2 linked regions of the Anolis sagrei genome follow. The protein of the gene in region 1 purifies or fractionates together with the protein of each later gene. This does not show direct contact. Links are inferred from orthologs where the notes say so. Each region holds a gene or a part of one and is shown in the gene's direction. Other genes may lie near its edges. The genes, in order: CDC25C and SUFU.

Region 1 (9,780 bases):
CTACTTTTTAACCCAGGAAAATCTTCTCAAAAGTCGGGGGCCATCTTATACACCAGGTGTCATCTTATAGGGCAGGTGCTGAAACTTCCAAGCTGGAATGGAGAATCTGCGATCGCCACATATGGTTGGGGGAGCTCAAAAACAGCTGCGTCTGCATCCCCGCCGTATGCGGCGACTATATGAAAGCAGCAAGTGCGTACGTTGGAAGAAGGGCAGTCTTATATGGCGAGTATATCCAAACTCTATATTTTAACTGGAAAAGTTGGGGATCATCATATATGCCGGAAAATACGGTACTTCTTTCTCCCAACTCAAAATTCTGAAACATCAAACATTTCCTGAACGTATTTATTAGCTAAAATCAATAACTGTAACCTTCTCTGCTTCAACATTTTCAGCAGGTATGCCAGTTTCTATTTGGCAGCCAAGGCTGTTATACATTTAAGCAAACCTACCAAATATCCTAAAGGTGCCAGATCTTTTTTGAGCTTGGAAGCTAAGCAGAGCAAGCCCTGATGAATACTTGGATGGGAGACTACCAATGCCTGGTGTTGTGGGCTCTATTTCAAAGGAAGGAACTGGCAAAACCACCTCTGAGGATTCCTTAAGAAAACCTTATGAGATTCATGGGGTGATGGTAAGTTGACAGGTGACTAGAAGGCACATAACAGAACCAAAGCCAAAGAGGGGCATTGTTGATGTTTATAGCCATGCTATATTCAGCATGGTGAAGTGGTCTATGAACCTAGAGTGGTCTGAGCATTGGAATGAAGTGCAACACTGTCTGAGCTCTGCAAGTGCTGCAGTTTTTGAATGAAACACGAGTGTTTGAAGATCAGGACATTTGTAGGGAGAACAAGATGCTTGTTTACAAAGCTATTGACCGTTTACTGTGAAACATGGACCGTCTACAAATGCCACTCTCAACTTCTGAAAGATTCCATCAGCATTGCCTCAAAAAAAATCTTGCAAATTGCTCGGAAAGACAGGCAGAAAATGTCAGTGTTCTGGCAGAAGAAAAGACTACCAGCACTGAAGTGATGGTCCTCCATCAACTTGGCTAGGCTGGCCACGTTGTTTGAATACCCAGTCACAATCTCCCAAAGTAGTTACTTTAGTCTCAGCTCAAGAATGGAAAACAGAATGTCAGTGGACAGCAAATAAAGATTTAAAGATGGGCTTAAAGCTAATCTTAAAAAAATGTGGAACAAACACAAAAAACTGGGAAGCCCTGGTCCTCAAGCATTCCTCGACTGGAGGTCAGCTTGTTACCAACAGTGCTGTGAATTCAATGAGGTTCAAACAGAAAGCGAAAAGGAGAAATGCACCAAGGAAGGTGCATCAAGCAAACCCTTGCTGTGACCGCCTTCCTGCTGGAAATCTGTGTCCTCGTTGTGAACAACCATGAGCATCCAGAACAGGTGTCTACAGTCAGTTATGGAACCACCACCAAGACTTTACCCTTGGAAGACTATCTTACTCCGCCACAACTGATCACCTATGAATTATTACTCTGAAGACCAGAGTTCAGTTCCCTTTTTGGCCACAGAAAACCCCATGATAAGATCACCATAAGTCAAAAAGAACCTGAAGGCAAACAACAAATATTCATCGTCTTTTTTCATCCTACCCCTATTTTGGTGATCTACTAGTCTATTTCAAAAACAGGTGACATACTAGCAGTGAGCTGCAGCTCTTAAGGTTAGACATTTGTTTTATGAACACCCAATGCATAAGATGATCATCCAAGCAGTTTCCTGTAAATGAGTAACAAGTCGCAGATATTGTGTTGGTCCAGACCAGGGGTCCTCAAACTAAGGCCCGGGGCCCGAATACAACCCTCCAACATCATTTACCTGGCCCTCACTAAGAGTCAACCTAAGTCTGAAACAACTTGAAAGCACACAACAACAACCACAACAACCATCCTATCTCATCAGCCAAAAGCAGGCCCAAACTTCCCACTGAAATACTAGTAAGTTTATATTAAAAATCATTCATTTTAATTATTGTATTGTTTTTAAGTGTGTGTGTGTGGGGGGGGGGGTGTTGCACTACAAATAAGATATGTGCGGTGTGCATAGGCATTCATGTTTGGGAGTTCTAGGCCAAAAAACTCTGTTTAAAAAGTTTGTGGACCCCTGGTCCAGACAATAAAAACAAAATTGAAAAGCCAATTTCCAGACTAACTTTTCACCACTTTTTATATTGTTCATAACAGGAACAAAGCCTTAAATGTAACCATCCTTATGGTGAGAAATGATGCTGTTAAGAAAAGCAAAACTAGAATTAGTCCGAAAGGAGCAGAGGAGCTTCTTACATCCATTCTTTCCACAAGTTAGTGCTTGTTTAAAATGCAGGATGTTTCAAAAAGATGCACCTGATTTGAAATCACGATCTGCTATCAGAAACTACCCATAAATGAAACACTTCCTACTTGAAAAGGTGGGGCATAGAATTTCAAATGATTACTGCTAGGTTCTTCTCCCAATACACAAATAGTCTTTAGCCAGAGTTAGAGGACATTTCTTCTCCTGCAACTAGAAAACAAACATTTACTATTTTGAGCCCCTGCTAAAACCCAATTGTCCAGTTTAGACCAGTGGTTCTCACTCTTTGGTCCTCCAGGTATTTTGGACTAGAGTTCCCAGAATCCCTGACAATAGGCCAAACTGGCTGGGACTTCAGGGAGTTGAAGTTCCAAAGGCATCACAGGTTAAGGCTATTTGGGGCACATGTGTGCATCTATACTATAGAATTAATGCAGTTTGGCTCCACTTTAACCACGATGGCTCAAGACTATGGAAACCTAGGAGTTGTAGTTTTCCAAGATCTTAGGTTTTTTCTACCAAACAGAGCTCTAGAGCCTCACTGAGCTACAGTTCCCATGATTCCATAGCATCAAGCCATGGCAGTTAAAGTGGCCTCAAACTCCACTTATTCCTACAGTGTAGATCAGGTCTGGGCCAACTTGGGCCCTCCAGGTATTTTGGACTTCAACTTCCATCATTCCTAACAGCCTCGGGCCCCTTCCTTTCCCCCCTCAGCCGCTTAAGCGGCTGAGTCACCATGAGTCACCTTCGGCTTTGAGAAAGGCGGGATAGAAATATCATAAATAAATAAATAATAGAGTTTGCCTATGCCTGGAGTAGATGCACCTCAAAACTAGGGGGAAAAGGGAAGAGGAGGGGGGCAGGGGGCAGTTCCACCTTGTCTCCTGTGCTATGCTAATAATATAATATATAATATAATATTGGGTTGTTGTAGGTTTTGTTGGGATATATGGCCATGTTCTAGAAGCATTTTCTCCTGATGTTTCGCCTGCATCTATGGCAAGCATCCTCAGAGGTAGTGAGGACCTCACTCCTCTGAGGATGCTTGCCATAGATGCAGGTGAAACGTCAGGAGAAAATGCCTCTAGAACAGGGGTCCTCAAACTTTTTAAACAGAGGACCAGGTCAGTCTGTCAAACTGTTGGAGGGCTGGATTAGAATTTGAAAAAAAAATGAATTCCTATGCACACTGCACATGTGTTATTTGTAGTGCAAAAAAACCCAAACACTTAAGACAATACAATATTTAAAATGAAGAATAATTTTAACAAATATAAACGTTTTAGTATTTCAATGGGAAGTGTGGGCCTGCTTTTGGCTCATGAGATAGGATTATTGTTGTTGTTGTTGTTGTGTGCTTTCAAGTCATTTCAGACTTAGGTTGACCCTGAGCGGGAGCCTTGGAGGGCCGCATCTAGCCCCCAGGCCTTAGTTTGAGGACCCCTGCTCTAGAACATGGCCATATAGCCCGAAAAACCTACAACAACCCAGCGATGCCAGCCATGAAAGCCTTCGAGAATACATTAATATAATATTATTCATTTATTTATTTACCATTTTTATATACTGCTCTTCTCAGCCCATGGGTGACTCAGGGCAGTATAATATAATATAATGTAGACTAACAGAATATTTATAATAATATAATGTAATGCAATATACTACTATTTATTTATTTATTATTTATTTATCGTGTCAGGGGCAACCAGATAATTGTATTACATTTCTAACAGAACAAAAGCAAACAAACAAACAGACAAATAACAAAATTGGCAGGTTTGGTAGTTGATTAAATGTCCTTTGACCAGTATCTGGTCACTTGGAGTGCCTCTGGTGTTGCTGCAAGAAGGTCCTCCATTGTGCATGTAGCAGGGCTCAGGTTGCATTGCAGCAGGTGGTCAGTGGTTTGCTCTTCTCCATAATTATAATAATATGATATTATAATTAAATATTTATATTACATGTAATTACTAATGTTGTTGTTGTTCATTTGTTCAGTCGTCTCCGACTCTTCGTGACCTCATGGACCAGTCCACGCCAGAGCTCCCTGTCGGCCGTCACCACCCCCAGCTCCTTCAAGGTCACTCCAGTCACTTCAAGGATGCCATCCATCCATCTTGCCCTTGGTCGGCCCCTCTTCCTTTTGCCTTCCACTTTCCCCAGCATAATTGTCTTCTCTAGGCTTTGCTGTCTCCTCATGATGTGGCCAAAGTATAATGGTGTAGTACAATATAGTAATATTTAATACTGAAATTGTACTATGCTAATAACATAATATAGTGTATCTGTATATGTGTGTGTGTGTGTGTATGTATGTATCTATATATATATATCTTGTAAACCACTCTGAGTCCCCTTCCGGGTGAGAAGGGCGGCATATAAATGTCGTAAATCAATAACTATCTTCCCTTAGCCCTGTTTAGGACTGCTAGGCTGCCTCTCCTTCCACAGTCTGTTACCTGCTGCTCCCGGGAGCCCAGCTCTCAGTCCCAATTCGTCCACACTGCATCATCCACCAAGAACATCACCGGCGTAGTTCTAAGGAGTCTGTCTCCACCTCCACGGTTTAAATCTCCCTCCTCGTGAAAGGCAGGGCGGAGCCTGGAACGCATCTCCAACCAATCGCATCGGGTTGGGTAAGTCCTCTGTTCAGTGATTGGCTGGACTGGATCAGGTTGGCTATCCTCCACCGCCGAAAAATAACAAAAAGGATCAGGAAGTCCCCGCCTACCGCGGCTTCTTCCAATAAGCTTTTCCACGCGCCCTCCTCCTTGACGTCACTGCGAGCATCGGACCAATGAGAAAGCTGTTGAAAGGACAGCCGGAGCTTTTCTTCTTCTGGGCTTCGCTGATTGGCTGGGAGGGCGGAGGGCGTGGCTTGTGATTGGTTGATGTTAGGGCGGCAAATTGAATAGTCTGACATTCAATTGTGTTCTTGACGGGAAGGGCGGGGTGGGTCAGTTTGTCCACAAGGAAGGGGGGACTTTTTGAAGGACTTGTTGAGACTGCGCGGAACTGGGGGCTGCCAATTCGTATTGCTGTCTTAATTGCAGAACCTGCAGCCAGCCAGCCTTGTTAGTGGACAAGATCCAACGGGTTTGACTTTTCTAAAGCACCACTGACACCCCTTAAGGTGGGTTTCGACCATATAATACCTTTTATCTCTGTAGCTGGACATAGGTTCACCTACACCTAGAATTAATTCAGTTTGAAACCACTTTAATTCTCCTGGACCACTGCTATGGAGTTCTGGGATTTGTAGTTTGTTGAGGCACCAGCTCTCTTGGTAGAGAAGGCTAAAAGTGTGCAAAACTACACCTCCCATGATCCCATAGCATCGAGGAATGGCAATTAAAGTGGTGTCAAACTGCATTAATTTTATAGTATAGATGGGTATGAGCAAACTTTGGCCCTCCAGGTGTTTTGGACTTCAACTCCCACAATTCCTGGCCTCAGGCCCCTTCCTTTCCCCCCTCAGCTGCTTAAGCTTAAGCGGCTGAGGGGGGAAAGGAAAAGGCCTAAGGCCAGGAATTGTGGGAGTTGAAGTCCAAAACACCTGGAGGGCCGAAGTTTGCCCATGCTCAGTATAGATGCATTCGTGGTTCTAGTGCTTGTGCTGTTTCTTTCTGTTTATACAGGTTGAATCATCCTTATCTGAAATACGTGGCAACAGAAGCATTTCATATTTTAGGATATTTACATATACATAATGAAATATCCATGCAGTCATGCTAGCCACATGACCTTGGAGGTGTCTATGGACAACGGCGGCTCTTCGGCTCAGAAATGGAGATGAGCACCACACCCCAGAGTCAGACATGACTGGACTTAATGTCAGGGGACAACCTTTACCTTTTAATGAAAGATCTTGGTGACGGGGCCCAAACTTAAACACAAAATTCATTTATATTTTATGTGTACTTTTACACACATAGGCAAAAAGGAACTTTATATGCAATTATTGTAAAATAAAAATAACTTTGTGCATGAAACAAAGTTTGTGTACATTGAATCAATGTCAGAAAAAGCAAAGGTGTTGCTATCTCTGCCACCCTGGTGGGCCTTTTTGGATTTTAGAGGATTATGAAATTTTAGACAAGGGATGCTCAAACTGTATTTTGCCTTAAATGGTGTCAAAGGAGCAGAACAATGTACTGTCAGGGGAATTATTTTTGCTAATTTAGTGCATGAGAAAAAGTTTGTTTCAGGAAGAACAGATGTCCCTGTCTCAGCCACCCGTGTGGACAATTTTGGAAGATTTGGGTTTTTTGAATATGGAATGCTCAATCTGTAGTAGGGGGGAAAGGAGTAATAGTAAGTTGTGTATATGTCTGTCTTCAGGTGTCTGCTCATCATGTCAGAGAGCATTCCTCCCACTGAAGCGGATGTGCTTCGTTCAGACCTTGGGTTTCGATCTGGCTGCAGGACGGTGCTTAATACTTTCCGGGAATCAGAGATCTCTCCACCTCTTTCTCCACAACTACCTCTTACTCCAGTCTTGAGTATAACCTGGGATTTTGGGAACCTCAGCACACTAGGAGGGTAAATATGTTCAGGGCAGTTATGTGGAATGGAAAATACAGTCAGCTCTTTGTATCCATGGATTCTGCATCCACAGGTTCCAAGATCTTGATTTTGCCATTTTAGATAAACCTTGATTTTACTGCGCCATTGTATATAATGCAGTGGTTCCCAACCTTTTTTGACCAGGGACCACTCTCCAACATTAATACCAAAAGGGTTACAAATCAGTTTTTGGTCAACTTTAGATTCAGTTTGGTTATTTGGGGTGCTGATTCAGAAAATTGCATTGAATAGTCCACATCAGCTCTAGTTCCTGGTACAGAACATACGCCATCCAGTAGTTGCCATCTGCTCACCCACAGAAAACCATATTTAATAAGCCTCGGTACTATAAGAGGGTTTCAAGAGACCAGTCACTCTCATTGCAACTGTGCAGACCACTGGTGGTCCACGGATCACAGGCTGGGAACCACTGATATACTGGAACTTGAGATCCACAAATTTTGGTATTCATGCAGGGTGGTTGGCAAATATGACTCCTATGGGCCAGTGGAAACTAGACACTCGATCTCCTAACCTAGGTTCTGGTCCAGCACTGCCAGAGCCAAAACACACTGGAGTTCTATACACTGTGTTTCTATCTACTTATTCCTTTCACTATATTTTTGCAGGGACACTCCAAGACGCTGCCTAGATCTTTCCAATCTCAGTAACGGGGAAGAGGAAATTGTCTTCAACTTCAGCCAGTCCTCAAAAACTTTGGAAAATGGTAATAATCACTTCCAGAAACACAGTTCTGATACTATCTGCTATTTAATCATTTCCACAATAAATATAACTGTGCAACTACACTGCAGATTTAATGTAGTTTGACATCACAATAATCATGGCTCAGTGCTATTGAAACATGGAAGCTGTAGTTCTGCAAGGTCTTTAGCCTTCTCAGCCAAAAAGTGATGGTGCCTCAGCAAACTACAAGTCCTATGATTCTTTAACATCAAGCCATGGTAGTTAAAGTGATGTCAACTATTATTTCTATAGTGTCGATGCACCTAATGGTAATATATTTTCTTATCACAAGTCTTGTCAACCAGCTCATCTTTTTCAACCCCTTCTGATAAGTTTATTTATTATTTATTTATTTACAGTATTTATGTACCGCCTTTCTCACCCCGGGAGGACTCAAAGCAGTTTGCCATAAATCAGAAATGACCTTAAGACACTCAAGGTCAACCTGAGTTATTGTCTCTTAATCTCCTGCCTAATCCTGGTAATGTGACTTTCCACAGGAATTAGAGCCTTCACTTTCCTCTTTCTATTCAAAGCATATTGTAAAAAAAAAAAAAATCCAGCTTCAGCGAAGTACTTTGTTTTGGATTACCTTTATACCATTGTCTATCAGTAAATAGTTTGCAGATGTATTTGAAACGCTTCAGGTGAGATGTGAACCACCAGTAAGCTTTCTTTGATGCTGTCCTTTTTCTTGCTTTCCCTGGTAATTCCATGAATAAATAGCTAACCTAGGAGTATCCAGATGTTTTAAATACAGTACCAGCCAATCCGGCCAGTAGTTGGAGATTATGAGACGTATAGTCCAGAACATCTGAAGGATACCAAGTTGCATTTGTAGACATAGGCACTGTTTTGACATTTATCCCATCAGCTGTATTTTACTCCTGACTCCTTCCTTTGTTGTTTTGCTGACTTCTTTCCCTCTTGTTGCAGATCAGAAGGACTCAGGAGAACTTCAGGATCTACTGTAAGATCTGCCTACACATTTTAGAGCACATCTTGATTCCATATATATTCTGCTAACCAATGTTGTTTAATTTATCAGAGTTTATGGCTAAAAATTCAGTGAAAATCTCTTTGATGGCACCTGCAATGCCAGCCTACCTGGGGGTGGGCAGCAATGACCCTCCAGATATTTTTGTGTAAATGCAGTTACCATCATTGCTGGCCAGCATAGCTATTAGTGAAGGATTATGGGAGCTAGAATCCAAAAATATCTGAAAGGACACAATTACCTGTGCTACTGAGGGCTTGTTTTTTGCTAAGTTAGTCAGCATAAGAATAAAGTGAGTATTGAATTTTATTTTATGTGCCACCTTTTGATCAACTTGAGATATCATTGTTATATTTATTATATTTATTAATATTCAGCTTTTCTCCTAAAATTGGGACTCAATGAGACTTAAAATTTTAAACACAATAAATTTTAAAACATGTCGTATCATCCCATGTCCATGAGGGATATGTTCCCAGACTTTGTGTGGATATGTGGATCCATGGATATTATTGAACAGAATCGAAATTAAGGACCAAAGGGTCAAGAATACCATAGAGTCATTCATGATGTTCTGGAAAATGACTAGAGATGACATCTTTTGTTGGATGTGGATAATGATACAGTGGATATCTGTCCCGTGGATCTGGGGGTCATAATGTACAAAAAAGTAAACATTAAATAAGGTTACATTTTTGACAATATTAAAATGATTTAAAGGTATACTTAAAAACACAATTAAAAGATTTTAAAAATCAGCTAAAATAGTTCAGGCTAAACAAACAAGCAGTAGTTGCTCTGGGTTGCAGAGAGTTTTCTGGGCTGTATGGCCATGTTCCAGAAGCATTCTCTCCTAATGTTTCACCCACATTTATCCTCAGAGATGGTGAGGTCTGTTGGAAACTATGAAAATTGGGTTTATATATCTGTGGAATGCCCAGGGTGGGAGAAAGAACTCTTGTCTGCTTGAGGCAAGTGTGAATGTTGCAATTGGCCCCCTTGATTAGCATTGAATAGCCTTGCAGCTTCAAAGCTTGGCTGCTTCCAGCCTGGGGGAATTCTTTCTTGGGAGGTGATTAGCCCTGATTTATTCTTGCCTTGAATTCCCCTAATTTTGAGTGTTTATTTACTGTCCTG
Region 2 (9,529 bases), on another chromosome or scaffold:
GGCCAATGAGAGTGCGGGCTCTGTCATCGAGAGGGAGAAAAGAAAGACCAGCCTCGGCTAGCCGGTGAGAAGGGATGGAAGGCCGAAGGGAAGAGTCAGGGAGGCGGCCACTTCGACGGCAGGGCTTTAAAGCGGGAAGCACATCCCCCGCAGCGACTGGGGCAGCCCTCCCCTCTCCCACCGCCTCACAAGACGCCCCCCTTCTGGGGGATGGACTCACATTGTCAATCACCACCGGCTGGTTCGCGATCACATCATAAGACTCCATGGCGAGCGCCCGCGCGCCGCCGCCGATCCTGCCGCCTCAGTCGCTGCCTCAGACGAGCTCGGTAGCAGGGCGCATGCGCGGCAGGGACTGCAGCGCAAGGCATGCCGGGGAAGCGAGTCTCAGAGGGGGAAAACTAAGCCCCGCCCATTTCCCTTTGCCTGAAACAAAAACAGAGGCCACCATTTCATTCTATGTCATTTCAGAGTGACAGGAAGCAAAGTGTATAGCGAACCATCACAAAGCAAATAAACACAGAAAGTTAAGCTAATGATGGATACTATTAAAGTAAAAAAATACAAATAGCATTACTAATAATAATAATAATAATAATAATAATAATACACACTAAGATAATGGACAACAGCTGCTTGGGTTGCATCTACACTGTAGAATTAATGCAGTTTGACCTTAACTATAGAATAGTTACAACAGCAAAACAACAGGGGAAACAGTCAGGCACATCTAATCACCTCTCAGCAAAAGATTGCCCCAGGCACTGCTAGGCCATCAAATGCTAATCAAGGTGGTCAGTTGAAACATTCACACCTAGCTCCAGCAGACAAGAGTCCTTTGTCCCACCCTGGTCATTCCACAGATATATAAATCCTTTTTTCCTAGCTCCAACAGACCTCACTACCTCTGAGGATGCTTGCCATAGATGCAGGCGAAACATCAGGAGAAAATGCCTCTAAAACATGGCCATATAGCCCAAAAAAACCGCTACAAGAACCCAACATTAAGAATATTAAATGAGGTGGATCAACCTGTTGCACTGTTACTGATTTATTCATGTTCAGCTCTATTTTTGTCACCAACATGAATTGCATTTTTAAATACTGATTGTACTATTATTAACTGCTTGTCGCACAGTTCAGAAACAATCTAGGTTTCATACATGTCTCCTATTTATTTATTTATAATATTGCATTGCAAAGAAGTCATTATACAAACACATTCCAGACGATGCATGTTGGGCTTGCTACTATGCTAATAATGTAGTATGTTGTATGTACATATGACTTTGTAAGCCGCTCTGACTCCCCTTCGGGGTGAGAAGGGTGGCATATAAATATCATAAATAAATAAATAAATAAATACGTGTCACCTATTTATAGTATTGCATTGCAAAGAAGTTTGTTTCTTGGTTACATCCCGTCTAGACTACTGCAACGCTCTCTACGTGGGGTTGCCTTTGAAGACGGCTCGGAAGCTCCAACTAGTCCAACGCTCGGCAGCCATGATACTAACAGGAGCGGAGCGCAGGGAGCATACAACTCCTCTGTTGCACCAGCTCCACTGGCTGCCGATTTGCTACCGGGCTCAATTCAAAGTGCTGGCGTTGGCCTATAAAGCCCTAAACGGTTCGGGCCCAAGTTACCTATCCGAACGTATCTCTGCCTACAAACCCACCAGGACTCTAAGATCTTCTGGGGAGGCCCTGCTCTCGATCCCGCCTGCATCACAAGCACGGCTGGCGGGGACGAGGGACAGGGCCTTCTCTGTGGTGGCCCCTCGGCTGTGGAACGCTCTTCCCATGGACATTAGATCAGCTCCTACATTAATGGTGTTTCGAAGAAAACTAAAAACCTGGCTGTTTGAACAGGCATTCGGATAAACAGTGCAATGAATACGATGAATATAGGAACGGAATTATGGACGACGAATTGGATCATGATTCTAGCTACGAGATGTTAATGTGTTGTTATTGATGTGTCATCACTTTGTATACTATGCTGTTAATGGTTTTTAAATTGTATGTTGTTATGATTGTCTTTTGGCTCTTGTTGTGAACCGCGTTGAGTCGCCTACGGGCTGAGCAACTGCAGCATACAAGCAAAGTAAATAAATAAATAAATGTTTTTTTTTTCGTGTCAGGAGCAACCTGAGAAATTGCAAGTCGCTTCTGGTGTGAGAGAATTGGCCGTCTGCAAGGACGTTGCCCAGGGGACACCCGGATGATTTTGATGTTTTATCATCCTTGTGGGAGGCTTTTCTCATGTCCCCACATGAGGAGCTGACGCTGATATAGGGAGCTCATCCGCCTCTCCCCGGATTCGAACCTGCGACCTGTTGGTCTTTAGTCCTGGCAGCATTGCAAAGAAGTTATACAAAGACATTCCAGCCAATGCATGTTGGGCTTGACCGCTGATGGTTTATAACTTTAACTTTGTCTTTTCATTTGGAAAATAAAGTAATCTCTATGACCTTAACATTGTATTACACAACAGATGAAACATGTCTTTTCTAAAATATCTTCTGTCTTAGACTCTCATAAGCCATTGCAATGTGAAACAACTTGAAATCGCATTATTTGATCAGCTTAGACTTATATATAATGCAATGCCATGCAATGCAGCTTGAAATTGCATTATGTGTTCAGTGTGGATTCATATATAATGCAGTGCCATGGAATACAACTTGAAATGGCATTATATGGTCAGTGTAGATTCATATATAATGCAGTGCCATACAATGCAGCTTGAAATGGAATTATATAGTCAGCATAGACTCATATATAATGCAGTGCCATGCAATGCAGCTTGAAACAGAATTATATAGTCAGCGTAAACTCATATATAATGCAGTACCATATAATGCAGCTCGACAAGGCAGAGTGTGGACTCATATCTAAGCCAGTGCCATGTAATACAACTTGAAACAGCATTATATGGTCAGCATAGACTCATATATAATGCAATTCCATGCAATGTAGCTTGAAGCAGAATTATATGGTCAGTGTAGTCACATATAATGCAGAACGGCATTATATGAGTCTACCCTGATTGTATAATGCTGTTTCAAGTTGTATTATATGGCACTGGTCAATGTAGACTCATAATGCAGTGCCATGTAATACAACTTGAAATAACAGTATATGGTTGGTGTAGACTCATAATACAGTTTTGCAATATATGAGTCTACACTGAACATGTAATACTGATCAAGCTGCATTACATGGCAATGAAGATGGAGCCCTGAATGAATTTAATTGTTACAGTCACAGACCAAAAGTGTGAAACTTTAAAATTTTAAAAACAGTTTTTTTATTGTTAACACTAAGAACAAAAATTTACAACATTAAAAGTAGGAAGTCTGTGGGTAAAAAAATTAATAAAATAAAACTTTTTCTGCTAAAATAATCTGCTTCCTTATTTTTATAACTGCCGCACAAAACTTAGCCACGCTATAATGAGTGGTGGATCTCTATCCTCTAGGAGATGTTTTAGATAATAGTCTTTTAGAAAACAAGTCTAGAAAATCTCCTTCTCGGCTACAACATTTCTGAGTTGAATTCTGCCTTGGACATGGATCAGTGGCAATTAAGACCCTTTCTATGCAGCCATATAATCCAGATTATCAAAGCACATAATCCAGATTATCTGCTTTGAACTGGATTATATGTGTCTACACTGCCATGTAATGCAGTTCAAGGCAGATAACCTGGATTTTATATGGCAATGTAGAAGGGGCACTACTAGACTTAATGTTGGACACTACTAGAATTAATGTCAGGACAAACCTTTACCTTTACCTTTTATTTACTTATTTATTTCACATATTTGTATCCCGTCCTTCTCACCCCTGGAGGGGGACTCATGTCGGCTTCACAACCGGCATTTATTCAATGCCAACAACAGTAATAAGTGATAAAAGCAATTAAAACAGTTTGTTAATGCTTTAAATTTACTAAAAATTGTTTAAATCACACAGGTTGAAATCATAGTCCAGTTCAGTCCATTGTCATTCACACAAATTGGGACTCATTCTACATTGCTGCCTCTACGTGAATGAATTCCTATGCACACTGCACATATCTTATTTGTAGTACAAAAAAAATAATTAAAATGAAAAACAATTTTAATATAAACTTATTAGTATTTCAATGGGAAGTGTGGACCTGCTTTTGGTTGGTAAGATTGTTGTTGTTGTTGTTGTTGTCTGCTTTCAAGTCGTTTCAGACTTAGGTTGACCCTGAGCGAGGGCCAGGTAAATGACCTTGAAGGGCCGTATTCGGCCGTCGAGCCTTAGTTTGAGGACCCCTGATCTAGACACTATATTCCTATGGAGACATGCCAAAATCTCATTGGCTTTTTTTGCCCTCACATCACATTGTTGGCTCATAGAATCATACAGTTGGGAGAGACCTCATGGGCCACCCAGTCCAACCCCCTGACAAGCAGGTATATTGTATTCAAAGCACCCTTGACAGATGGCCATCCAGCCTCTGTTTAAAAGCTTCCAAAGAAGGAGCCTCCACCACAATCCGGGGCAGAGAGTTCCACTGCTGAACGGCTCTCACAGTCAGGAAGTGACTGTGTTCCTAATGTTCAGGTGGAATCTCCTTTCTTGTAGTTTGAAGCCAAGTCTCCAGGGCAGCAGAAAACAAGCCTGCTCCCTCCTCCCTATGGCTTTCCCTCACATATTTGCTGTCACATCAGCACTTTTAATCCTGTACCCATTACTCTGGCCCGGCCCAGTTTTATTGTGTCTTAGTGTCTTAGTTTATTGCTTGTTGTTTATATTGCTTTAATTGTTTTTAATTTGCCTTAGGTTTTGCATTGTTGCATTGTGTGTGGAGGCCTTGGCCTTGTAAGCCGCATCGAGTCCTTCAGGAGATGCTGTTGTTCATTCGTTCAGTCGTCTCCGACTCTTCGTGACCACATGGACCAGCCCACGACAGAGCTCCCTGTCGGCCGTCACCACCCCCAGCTCCTTCAAGGTCAGTCCAGTCACTTCAAGGATGCCATCCATCCATTTTGTCCTTGGTCGGCCCCTCTTCCTTTTTCCTTCCACTTTCCCCAGCATAATTGTCTTCTCTAGGCTTTGCTGTCTCCTCATGATGTGGCCAAAGTACTTCAACTTTGTCTCTAGAATCCTTCCCTCCAATGAGCAACCGGGCTTTATTTCCTGGAGGATTGACTGGCTGGATCTTCTCGCAGTCCAAGGCACTCTCAGCACTTTCCTCCAGCACCACAGCTCAAAAGCATCGATCTTCCTTCGCTCAGCCTTCCCTAAGGTCCAGCTCTCACATCCGTAGGTTACTACAGGGAAGACCATGGCTTTGACTAGGCGGAGATGCTAGCGGGGTACAAATAAAGTTTAATAATAATAATAATAATAACAATATTTATACATCACCATCATGTCTCCTCTCAGCCTTCTTTTCTTCAGGCTAAACATGCCCAGCTCTTCAAGCTGCTCCTCATAGGGCTTGTTCTCCAGACCCTTTCTCCTTTCTCATTTCATGTTTAACTTGTTGTCCACGAGGACTCCAAGATCTTTTTCACACGCACTGTTCTCGAGCCACGCGTCCCCCATTCTGTATCTTGACAGATATATCTTCATTTCTGCCAGGGATCTGCTGTATAATGGGAGTAATACAAAACAGAGATGGAGCCCTGCTTTCAGTGAACTAGTGAGGAAGGCATGCCTTGCAACGCCTCCCCACTGCCGCTAGGGGTCAGTCACGCAGAAAGGGTGTGTGGAAGAGGAAGGCGGGGCGCGTTGGATCCTCGGAGGACATTCGCCGCGTCGCGATTGGCGGAGCCGCTTGCCCATCAAAGGCGCGGGAGGCGGGAGGAAAGAAAGGGGGATGTCGATGGAGAGCGCGTCTCCTGCCTGGGGTCGCTGAGGGGAGTCTGGAGCCTCCGTTTGGGCCTCGGCTTCCGTGGAGGGGGCTGAGGCGGGCGTGCTTCCTCCCTCCTTCGCTCCTTCCCTCATGGAGACCTCAGCGACCGCCTCTGCCACCTCGGGCCCCACGCCGGGCCCTTTCCCCCCGCTCTTCCCGCCGGGGCTGCACGGGATCTATGGAGAGTGCCGGCGCCTCTACCCGGAGCAGCCCAACCCGCTGCAGGTCACCGCCATCCTCAAGTACTGGTGAGTCAGGCCTCGGGAAGGGGCAGACAAAGGCCCGAGGGGCCTCCACAGGCGCCCCCTTCGCTCAGGCTGCGTCTGGGCCAGCCTGGGCCCTCGAGGTGTTTTGGACTCCAACTCCCACCATTCCTAACAGCCTCAGGCCCTTTCCTTTCACCCCTCAGCCGCTTAAGCGGCAGAGGGGTGAAAGGAAGGGGCCTGAGGCTGTTAGGAATGGTGGGAGTTGGAGTCCAAAACACCTCAAGGGCCCAGGCTGGCCCATGCTTACTTTACACTATAGAATGAATGAGGTTTGACACCACTTGACCTGTATTTTCTGTTGGTCATGGAGGTTTCTGTATAGGAAGTTTGGCCCAATTCTATCCAGGTGAACTATAAATCCCAGCAACTACAACTCCCAAATGTCAAGCTCTATTCCCCCCAAACTCCACCAGTGTTCACATTTCACATATTGAGTATTCGTGCCAAGTTTGGTCCAGATCCATCATTGTTTGAGTCCAAAATACTCTCTGGATGGAGGTGATCTACAACTCCGAAACTCAAGTGTCCACCAAATCCTTCAAGTATTTTCTGTTGGTTGTGGGAGTTCTGTGTGCCAAGTTTGGTTCAATCCCTTCATTCAATTGGTTCAATTCCATCCTCTTCGATTGTAGTTTAACCACAAAGTGCTGGTTTTTACCTATAAAGCTCTTTATGGTTCTGGATCAGCTTAGTTGTCCGAACGCATCTGCCTCTACGTCCCACCTCGTAACTCATCCAGGGAGGCCCTGCTCTCCTTCCAGCCAACATCGCAAACATGGACAAGAGACAGGGCCTTCTCGGCTGTAGCCCCCTGCCTGTGGAACGCTCTTCCAAATGAAATAGGATCGACTCCATCCCTCCTGGCGTTCAGGAAAAAATTAAAATCTTGTTTTTGGGACTAGGCTTTCGGACAATAAACATAAAGCAGCACTTTGACTGGAAATGGATTGGTAAGGCCATATGTATGAGGATATGGTTTTATGGTTCTATCAGTGGGTTCATGGACTGAGTATTGTTTTAATGACTTATGATAATTTGGTTATAATTAACTGCTATTGTTTTAACTCTGTATGTATTTGTGGTTTTATACTGTGTTATTGATTGTGGCATCAAATTGCTGCCTTTGTTAGCTGCTCTGAGTCCCTCCCCCCCCCCCCCGGGGTTGAGAAAGGTGGGGTAAAAATGCAGTAAATAAATAAATAAAATAAACAAACTATAAGTCCTAGCAACAACAACTTGCAGGTGACATAATCAATGCCCCCCCTCCCCCAACCTCACCAGTATTCGAATTTGGGCATGCCAGGTATGAGTGCCAAATTTGATCCAGTGAATGTAAATACATCCTGCATATCGGATACTTACATTACGATTCATAACACTAGCAAAATTACAGTTATGAAAGTACCAACGAAAATAATTTCAGTCGTGGGATCACCGCAATATGAGGAACTGTATTAAGGGGTCGTGGTGTTAGGAAGGTTGAAAAACACTGGTGTAGATGCACACTTGGATTTCTAAAGTGACCAAAAGTTGTTTTCTATTTATGGGAGGGAGGATCTTTTGGAAAGCTCGAGGAAGTGCTTTGAATTCATGGCTGCTGGTGGTGTTTGATTGGGAGGGGGTTGTTTTGATGGAGACATTGAGGGGTTTGAGGATAGAGGGGTCAGCAAGAAAGCTTACATACTTATATTTCTTCTTACATATTGTTGTCCACATTGCTCCCCCCCCCCCCCGATGGTTAAACTGCTGAGCTGCTGAACTTGCAGACCGAAAGGTTGGTGGTTTGAATCCGAGGAGTGGGGTGAGCTCCCACTATTAGTCCCAGCTTCTGCCAACCTAACCGTTTGAAAACATGCAAATGTGAGTAGATCAATGGACTGCTTCTGCAGGAAGGTAACGACACTCCATGCAGTCATGTCAGCCACATGACCTAGGAGGTGTCAGTGGACAACGCCGGCTCTTCAACTGAGAAATTGAGATGAGCACCAATCCTCAGAGTTGGACACGACTGGACTTAATGTCAGGGGAAAACCTTTACCTTTGCATATTGTTGTCTGTATGTGGCATTTGAAGTGCTTCTGTGAGCTGCCCCAAGTCCCTTTGGGGAGATATTGGCAATTAGATTTTCTACTTTTATATTTTATACAGATTTTAGTTGCTGAATGTGTTTTTTAGGAGGCTTGATTGATAAGAAGTTTTAGTTAATGTTGTTTTATTTGTGTATTTTTAATCTGTTCATTTTAATTGGTTTGTCAGTTTGTTTTATCTTGTTACTGCACATTTATGTATTTATTTATTTACCATATTTATACCCTGCCCTTCTTAACCCAGAGGGGACTCAATGTGACTTACATATAGGCAACTATTAAGTGCCTTAGAGCAGCATACAATGAAAATAAAAATTTAAGATTGAAATTAATACACATTAAACAGGTAAAAACATTACATCCATTACGAAAACCACGCCATCCACAATTGTAATCTGGGACTATCCAGTAGTCTTTCTGTAAAGACTTTCTGTATATTTATGTCTTTATTTTGCATATTTCTATCCCATCCTTCTCACCCAGAAGGGGGGACTCAGGGTGGCTTGCAACAGGCAACCATTTCATGCCATCAAACAGATTCATAAATAACAATTGCAATTAAAACAGTAATTAAAATGTTAAATTATTAAAGCATTCATTGAAAATCACACACATTCAAATCCTAGTCCAGGTCAAACCCATTGCCAGTAACATAGGGTCAGTATCAATCTCAATTGCTGCATCTATTGTTTGAAGGCTTGGCCCCATAACCATGTTTTAAGTTATTTTCTTAAAGTTACGGATAGGAGGAAGGGGACTGATCTGATGTCACTAGAAAGCGAGTTCCACAGATGAGGGACCACCACTGAGAATGTCCTGTCTCTCTTCCTCACCAATCGTGTTTGCGAGGATGGTGGGACTGAGAGCAGGGCCTCTCCCCACAATCTTAACCTTCACGGTGGTTCGTATTTGTAGTGAGAGATACAGTTGGGCAGGTAAACTGTATATATTTCAGATTTCAATATTAATGGCAAAAATATGTAGTATGATTTTACATAGGATCTGTACTACATTAGAACAGTAAAGACAAATATCACTTATGTAAAATAAACAGTAAATATTAAATAACAAAAAAAGGTGAAAGTCATTTCACATGTTTCATATCCTTCTATTGCGCTTGTTTGAAGGCTTGATTCCAAAGCCACAATTTCTCTCTTTCTGAAGGCCAGGAAAGAGGGGGCTGATCTTATATCACTGGGAAGGAAGCTCCACGGCTGTGGGACCACTAATGAGAATGCCCTGTCTCTCATTCCCACCAGTCATACCCACGAAGGAGTTG

What was found.
Region 2: the proteins of CDC25C (region 1) and SUFU purify together in Homo sapiens (affinity purification with mass spectrometry; 4 studies listed by BioGRID and IntAct, counting the BioPlex papers as one, with this or other methods). This does not show direct contact. The link is inferred for Anolis sagrei from reciprocal best matches to the Homo sapiens genes CDC25C and SUFU.

The regions. Positions count from the first base shown.
Region 1 is NC_090022.1:76,158,214-76,167,993, forward strand, and holds the start of CDC25C (M-phase inducer phosphatase 3), read left to right. Parts: upstream 1-5,236; 5' UTR 5,237-5,466; intron 5,467-6,674; 5' UTR 6,675-6,687; coding exon 6,688-6,875; intron 6,876-7,528; coding exon 7,529-7,626; intron 7,627-8,582; coding exon 8,583-8,616; intron 8,617-9,780. Other genes in the region: oocyte-specific histone RNA stem-loop-binding protein 2-like, read right to left, coding at 4,793-4,845. UniProt on the Homo sapiens protein: Functions as a dosage-dependent inducer in mitotic control. Tyrosine protein phosphatase required for progression of the cell cycle. When phosphorylated, highly effective in activating G2 cells into prophase.
Region 2 is NC_090023.1:215,057,592-215,067,120, reverse strand, and holds the start of SUFU (suppressor of fused homolog), read left to right. Parts: upstream 1-5,816; 5' UTR 5,817-5,987; coding exon 5,988-6,145; intron 6,146-9,529. Other genes in the region: ACTR1A (alpha-centractin), read right to left, coding at 221-268. UniProt on the Homo sapiens protein: Negative regulator in the hedgehog/smoothened signaling pathway. Down-regulates GLI1-mediated transactivation of target genes. Down-regulates GLI2-mediated transactivation of target genes. Part of a corepressor complex that acts on DNA-bound GLI1.